Sus scrofa: one gene and its partner. The main gene of each other region encodes a partner of the protein of the gene in region 2 in a complex. Links are inferred from orthologs where the notes say so. Each region holds a gene or a part of one and is shown on either strand. Other genes may lie near its edges.

Region 1 (3,648 bases), on a different chromosome or scaffold from region 2:
ACAAAAAGAAGACAAAACAGCACTCCCTAAATCAATAATGCTAGATGGGCTTTAACTTCCATTCTAATTCTATTCCTCCAACAACAGCTTCTAGGAACACTGGGAGAAGAACATCAAAGCAAAACTGGGCTCAGGAGAAAAGAGTAGTTATTGATTAGGCATGCCTGTTTCTGGTTTAGGAGTGGGCAGAGGTAGCACATTTGCTTTTCTTGCCCTAAATTCATCAACTACTGAATTTATAAACTAGAGCCTCTGCCAATCCTTCTGTTTTAATCCTCTGTTCATTTTGTCAACAGATATGACTATCACATAGAGCTATGTGCATTTGGGAAGGCATAATTTTTCATATTCAGATCTAACTGTGGAAATAAAATGAAATAACTTTTAAGTGAATAAGCACTATCTAACTGCAGAGGTAACTATTAATCCAAGGGGGCCCATCCACAACCCCCAGGATACAAGATATCCCAGCCTGTTACCTGGCCAAACACAAAGCAGTACAGTGTCACACCCATGGCCCAAACATCCAATGCCTGCAAGAAAAAAAAGAGTTCTGTGTGAGGGGATGAGGAGCAGTAAAAGGTGTCTACAGCTTTTACTGCCCAGCATCCAATCCCCCAGCTCTCCTTTGGGGAACCACCTCTTCTTGACTGCTCAGAACAGGGGCATAGCTGTTCCTGCCCCTCAATCCCCAGCCTCTAGTTAGGCACATGACCCAGGCCTGGCCAATGAGAGCAACACTTCCCCTAGGCACAGTGATTGGCTCAAGGATGAGCATATGGCCCATGCTAGGCCAATCAGAGCCAACCCCAGGATTTTTGCTGGAGCTCTTCAGAAAGAAAAATGTTCTTTTTTTTTTTTTTTTTTGCTTGGGCCGCTCCCTCGGCATATGGAGGTTCCCAGGCTAGGGGTCTAATCGGAGCTGTAGCCACCGGCCTACGCCAGAGCCACAGCAACACGGGATCCAAGCCGTGTCTGCAACCTACACCACAGCTCACGGCAACGCCGGATCGTTAACCCACTGAGCAAGGGCAGGGACCGAACCCACAACCTCATGGTTCCTAGTCGGCCCACAATCTCATGGTTCCTAGTCAGATTCGTTAACCACTGCGCCATGACGGGAACTCCCAAACAATGCTCTTTCTACTGAGGCTGGTAAACTGATAGAAAGTAGCCTGGAGCTGCTGATGACCCATTCACCTGAGGAGGAATTCCAGAAAACAGAGCTGAGAGATGGCAAGATGGATTCCTATTTGAATCCCTGTGTCTAGCCAAGCCTGAAGCCAAACGCACCCCACTCCTCATCCATATGATCTGATGGATTCACTGTTTAAAGCCAGTGAGCTGGGTATTTGCCACTTAAAATGGAAAGGACCCTAACACAGGTAGAACTCTGCATCTCAGGCAGGTCCAAACCTACCTTCCCAGAGAAGATCTTCCGGGTCTCTGAGAGTGACTCGGGCGCCATGAAGGCGGGTGTGCCCACGGTGTTAGAGAGGAGGGCATCACTGCCCTTGAACTCGTTGCTCACACCAAAGTCCGCAATCTTGATGTGCCCATCTTCTCCCACCAGCAGGTTGGAAGGTTTGATGTCCCGGTGGATGATCTTCTGGTAGTGTACTGGGGGCAGCATCAACACAGGATGGGAGAGACAGGGGCCAGAAAAACAATGTGAGGAGCTCCACGTAGCCCACATGGCCCAGAGACACAGGCAGGAACCTCACTGTTCTCCTGAGGCCCCAGGCTCTTCCCAGCCTTCCCCTCCCAAACCTGCTGAACACTCTGTAAGACAAGAGGAGTGTCTCAAAAGAAGCTGTCTTGTTGTCTGAAGGAAGGGGTGAGACACGAGACTGCCCAGAGCAACTGGTAACCACCTGCTATAGTCTAAGTCACATGTGCATGAGAAAGTTGTTGTTCAGCTTGACTCCCAACTAGAAGTATCAAGACTTGTAATAATCAAACATATTTTCATTTATTAATGCCACTACTCAACCTGTTCACCAAACCAACAGTGACTAGAGCAGGTCAATTTGAGGTGCGAAGCACAGAACAGGACTGGAGACTTGGCTAACTGTTCCCCACTGTACGTCAGCCCATGGGAGAGGATGACCCTATGGTCTGGAAGACCCAACTGCGTTTCTGGGGTGGTAGTGGCAGTGGTGACAATGAAATGATGATGTTGGTAACAGAAGCCACAGCTGCCTTTGCTGAATGCGCAGTCAGGGGCCTCTCCCATTCACCTCATTCCAATCTCACAACAATCCTATGTAACAGGCAAAGAGTATGAGTCAAAATGTTTAACAACCGGAAGTAGAAAGTACACCTGCCAATCAGAACTACTGATGTCCGGGCTGACTTCAGCCCTGGTGAGAGATACTTCATGCTATCTAAAGTATCTCTTTTATTTTATTTATACTAAATAAAAATAAACTACATCCTCTCAGGAGTTCCCACTGTGGCTATCCATGAGGACGCAGGTTCAGTCCTTGACCTCGTACTTTACATACAAGGAATGAAGATTCCAGGAGGTCAGCAGGATCCCAGGGTTGCTGGGAATAAAGAATGATGCAAGTGAGAGTCCCTAACAGTGCCTGGTACACATAAGAAAGTGCTGGATGGATGGTCACTATCACTATTTCTCTTCATTATTCTGTGTGGCAGAAGGGTTTCTGCTCATAGTGTGGCCCCAGGAGAGCTATCTGCAACCTTCGGTGACTCTGCATCTCATACAATTCTGTTTCCTGCCCACATCCCTGGGCTCCAGGAGGGAAGTAGGAAACCCTCCACTTCCCATCCACCACCAGGGCATGCTCACCACCCCCCTGGGTGAGGGTCCTCCCGCAGGCCCTGCTTACAGTACTCGATGCCTTTAATCAGATCCTGGAAGTAGAATCGAGCCTGGTCTTCAGAGAGTGGTTTGAGGGTGGGCACTTCCATCACAGGCCTGAAAAGTCAACACATGCATGAAGTGCAAACCAGACGCGCGGGCCTTTGCCCTCTTGCACCACCTCATGCAGCTTAGCAGCTCAGAAGCTTCAGGCAGCCTACCTGCTGGGAATGGGGACACTCACCCTTGGTTGACCAGTTCAAACACTGTAGGATAGAGAAGGGAGTGAGTGGTTACATTGGGAAACTGGAAATCCATCTTCCTCCCCCTGCTCCCCAAGCCCCTCCTACCCCTAGAAACATCGAGAAGCACTGAATCTACTACTGGGGCTGGGGAGAGAAATAGCTCACTGAACCAGAGCTACTGAAGGTTCCGCTTTTCTAAATTCCCATCTGGTGGCTAGGGATCAGAGATTTCTGGTGTCACTGGGACTATACGAGGCTGGCTGTACTTCTAGTCCTCAAAACAGGGAAGGACCCCACGCCAGAGAACACAAAGCAGGGGAACCGGAGATAGTGGACTCTGGACTGCTCCTGGCTCCTTTCATCTTTCCTCTCCTACCTGAGGGCTCCAGAGAAATGACTGATGCTAAACTACATTCTCTCAGGAGCTCCCACTGTAGCTCAGCAGTAATGAACCCAGCTAATATCAATGAAGATGCGGGTTCAATCCTCAGCCTTGCTCAGTGGGTTAAGGATCCGGCGTTGCCATGAGTTGTGGTGTAGGTCGCAGACACAGCTCGGATCCTGCATTGCTATGGC
Region 2 (4,295 bases):
CCCTCTTCCTCCCTTTCAAAATACTGCATATTATTTCTACCCTGGTCACCCACATGTCACAGGTCCTAACTATTACTAGGGTAATTTCATTAAATTCAAATAAATTTCATCACTCTAGCACCTGGATTACTCCAACCTTAAGGGAAGGACTTTTTTTTTGTATCTTCCTCTATTTTCCAAATTCAGTGATAACCTTTACAAAGAGAGGAAGAAACAGTTACTTTTTTAAAGCATCTACAGTTTTTATTTAATCCTTGCAACTTTTTCAAGTAGGTATTGACCCATTTTACAGAGGAAGAAAGTGAAGGTCAAAGGTAAGCCTAACCCTCAGAATCACAGTAAACAGGTTCGAAAAATGTCTGCTTTATTTTATGAACTGTTCTTTCCTCCATGCTCTGTCGTCAAAGAGCAGAAGCATCAACACAGCAAAAGAAAACTTTTCCCAATCCCAAGCTCAAGTGTTCTGAAACGGATTCTCATTCCCTGACATTTACTGAAAATGACCGAGTAGGAAGTTGTAATTTTTTAAAGGTTTTTTTAAAACCTGCCACATTAATAATTTGCAATAAAGCCATGTATACAACCCACCCCTGCACTATGATCACAAAAAAATTGCTTAAAATTTTTAACTTTATTCCTTCATTGCCCAATTTTAATAGTGAGATGAATGTTTAAAAACACTACTGTATCCTTAAACTTTTGAGAAAACTAGAAATAGGAAGGAGAACAGGCATATCTAGAGGTCCCTGATTTGCAAGTCTAAGGATAAATGAAATACTTTATTTTGGGGACCAATTCTCATCTGATAGAACATAAAGTACTCAATTCCACCTGGCTCATCTGATAATTTCTGCATTACCTTGGACAAATGCCATCTGAATACTCCCTACCAGCCCTTAGGTGCATTGCAGCCTCTGTGTCATTGTGTGACATCACTGGGTTGCTATGGATATAGGTGCGAGGTCACTCGCTTTCCTGTGAAACTAGAAATATGGAAAAATTAGAAGAGTCTAAATAATTGAACTGAAGATACTGATATCTATTAAAGTATAACTTCTATCATTTGCACTTTAAAGACAGCAACTGTAGCAGTCTCTTAATAAAGCAGTGCTCCCAATTTCAGAGTCAATTCTCTTCCTTAAGGGAATAAAAACCCCTTATTAATGTAGATGACTTAAATATAAAGGCATCAGTATTGTCATCTTTTGTGAACCAGTAAAATTATTCAAGAATTAATGAATCTGTAATACCTACACTGCTTCATTAAAAAGATTTAACACGCAAGGTACACTCCTGCATCTGCTACACACAGGAGATGCACTTTAAAACCTTTGTTACATAAGGCAAGAAGTATTTAACTTATTTATTAAAATAGTGGGAGACCTAAATCACTAGATAATTTTCTAGGTTTCATTTAATAATGGTCAATACTCCCCCCCACCATCAAACTGGTTGTCTGCCCATTAGACAAATGTAGTGTTACAAAATGGTGCAATACAGGCAGGAATCTGCATCCCAGACAAAATGCGACAACTGGAGATCAGTATTCTCTTTTCATCACCAATAAGGATGTGATAGCTTTTTTTAAGCCTCAGATATATCTAACAAAACAAATTAAAAAAAAAAAAAAAGATATTTTTTCCCCTTTAAAATAACTCCTCCCAGCCTCCACCCAGTCTAGGCTCTCTGCAATATGACAAATGCAGAATCTTCTGGAATGACTTGATACTGCCTCCCACCACCGCTTTGTTTGCAGTATCAGATCAGAGAGAATATTTTTTCAACTTATAGGAATTTCAACAGATGTGTGCCTGTGTTTAAAAGAGAAACGGCATATTATCACAAATTGAACCAGTCAGCTAAATTCACAACCTTTATTTTTAAGACAATACCTACCCTTTTCAATACAAAAAACACTAGGAAAAATTAGAGATAACATATTAAGAACAATCAATGAAAAAGCTAGCCAAACAAACGTTCCCCTCTTCCTAAAATCAAGAGGGCTTGCTTTGAGGTAAAGAAAGAGGAGCCTTTTGTTAAGAAAAACGTGAGCAAGGAGGTTTCGATTTTGTACTACTGCGCCCAGGTTTTCAGGACAGCCTACGTTTTTACCGGGGAGACTCTAAAGGACCTGTCTCGAGAGACAGTGGGAAGATTTGGGGAGAGGGGGAGCATCAGAAAACCGGGAGACCTGCTGAGTGAATGGAAAAGGCGCCGCCCAGACACCAGGGAGAAAAGAGGAACCGCATCCATGCGGTCCCCCGCCCCCACACGCCCAGGCTGGGAGGAGGGGAAGTGGGGCACAAAGGATGCGCGTGGCCCCGGCTCAGGTCCCCGGCAAAGCCAAAGGCGCGGCGGCCGGAGAGCCGGCTGCCCAGACCAGCCCTGCAAGACCCCGCCCCAGCCCGAGCGCGAGGAGGGCTGAGGAGACAGCGCCGCCGGCCCCGGGGGACGCTCGGAGCGAGGCCGCGTCACACCCGGTCCTCAGCGCTCTCGGGACCCTCCCCAGCTCCCTCAGGGGCGAGAGACCTGCAGCTGCAACAGGCAACCAGTCCCCCGGAAGAGCCGACGAAGGCCCGCGTCTGCAAAGGGGCTGGGGCGAGGCGGGGGGAGGGGAGGAGAAACTCACGTTCTTCATGGCCGCGGCCATGTCGTCGTAGCGCTCCGCCTGCTCCGCCAGCCGGGCTTTCTGCACCAGTTGCTCGCGGTCCACCATCTTCACGGGCTGGGTCGGGCCGGGCAAGGAGACCGGGGCGGCCTGAGGGGCTCAGGGGACGGCTGCGACGCGGCTGGAGCCCGTGTGCCGGAGGGACCGACCCACGAAGCGAGCGGCTGAGGCGGCGACGGTGGCGGCGCAGAGGCTGCGGCTCGAGCTGCGACCGCGGGACCGGGCGCGAGGCGGCTGCGACTGCTGTGCGTGCCGCGGGCGGACAACCCCCTGCGGCCCCGCCCACGCCGCGTGACGCAACGGCCCCGCCCACCCGCCCGCGCACCCCCGCCCCGGCCCTTCCGTTCCTTGGGTTTCCCCTCCCCAACTCAGCTCGGCGCCGCTCTCTGGGCGTCCCCTCCTTCCCCGCTGCCCCCCAACGAGCCGGGTGCTTCCCTTCACCCCGGCTGCTGTGCCCTATCTTCTCCAGACGGCCCCCACCCTTCGTCCTGCAGACCGCGGCCCTCTCAGGCCTCCGGCGCCTGGGCCCCTGGGAGTTGTAGTTCATCCTCGGGTGCGGCGATACGTTGGGGAGATCAGGGACAAAGGGGCAGCCAAGACTACATCTCCCTGTTGTCGTAGCGCTCAGACAGAGGAGGATGGGACGGGGAGGGGGGGGTTCCTAATTCTGCGGCCGCTGGGGACCCCTGGCGGGGACGGAGGATGCATCAGTCCCAGTGAGTGCTGATTCACGGCCCCGCCCCACATGCTTGGGGAAATTACTGGAGGAGGGGGCCAGGGCCTCAGCCCTGGACCATGTTTCTGAGATAAAATAGCAGGACATGGAGGGGGGTGGGGGTCTGGAGAGGTGGGGTCCGTACACTATTGATTAAAACTGTGAGGGTGGTGACCGCCTGAGGGATGGTTGAATTAAGGAGCCAAACCTTGGGGGACTGTCACCCTCCCCCACAAGGTTCCAGCTCCCTCCGCATCCCCACCTTGAGATTCTTGGACCTGACAGGTGGAAATCTGGAAAGACAAATACCAGGAGGGCGTCCTGGTCAATTTGTAGAAAGGATACAGCAGTAGTTTGCGGGTCTACCCCTGGTGAGCCCCTTCCTTCCTCTCCAGGGTGGAGCATTAAAGATTCAATTCAGTTAGCCAATGGCTGCTCAACACTGGGTTGTGTGTAGGGGTTAACCAACTCTTTTCTGCCCGCCTAGAATATACACGCTGAGGTCAATCTGACTAATTCTTGCTCATGTGCTTCCCTTTTTGACATTCCATGTAGCTCACACAACCCACAGTTTTGACTGCACGTTTTATTTCGTTTATCCAGCACTTATCTTATTGCACACCTACAATGTTCCAGGCACTGTTCTAGGCAATAGGGTACGGCAGAGAACAAATCAAATAAAATCCCTGCCCAAGAAAATAGGCAAAGTAAAGATAAGTGTGTAGAGTACTTTAGAAAGTAATAAAGAATTTTTTTTTTTTTTGCACCCACAGCATATGGAAGTTTCTGGGTCAAGGATCAAACCCACGCCTGCAGTTGAAGCCTGCACCACAGCTGCAGCAATAGCAGATCCTTAATCTACTTCCCACAAGGAAATTTCCAGGGATTTTTTAAAACAGTGAATATGAAGTG

What was found. Proteins that work in one complex are often made in the same cells at the same time.
Region 1: the proteins of YWHAG (region 2) and CAMKK2 are in contact, whole or in part, in a crystal structure (PDB 6Y6B), measured with the Homo sapiens proteins. The link is inferred for Sus scrofa from reciprocal best matches to the Homo sapiens genes YWHAG and CAMKK2. Residues at the interface, in NP_036611.2 of Homo sapiens: Ser46, Val47, Lys50, Asn51, Arg57, Arg132, Tyr133, Gly174, Leu177, Asn178, Val181, Glu185, Ile222, Leu225, Asn229, Trp233; in NP_001257414.1 of Homo sapiens: Leu99, Ser100, Leu101, Gln102, Glu103, Arg104.

The regions. Positions count from the first base shown.
Region 1 is NC_010456.5:31,348,911-31,352,558, reverse strand, and holds part of CAMKK2 (calcium/calmodulin-dependent protein kinase kinase 2), read right to left. Parts: intron 3,094-3,648; coding exon 3,072-3,093; intron 2,945-3,071; coding exon 2,856-2,944; intron 1,621-2,855; coding exon 1,421-1,620; intron 534-1,420; coding exon 480-533; intron 1-479. UniProt on the Homo sapiens protein: Calcium/calmodulin-dependent protein kinase belonging to a proposed calcium-triggered signaling cascade involved in a number of cellular processes. Isoform 1, isoform 2 and isoform 3 phosphorylate CAMK1 and CAMK4. Isoform 3 phosphorylates CAMK1D.
Region 2 is NC_010445.4:9,993,455-9,997,749, reverse strand, and holds the start of YWHAG (14-3-3 protein gamma), read right to left. Parts: upstream 2,949-4,295; 5' UTR 2,717-2,948; coding exon 2,630-2,716; intron 1-2,629. UniProt on the Homo sapiens protein: Adapter protein implicated in the regulation of a large spectrum of both general and specialized signaling pathways. Binds to a large number of partners, usually by recognition of a phosphoserine or phosphothreonine motif.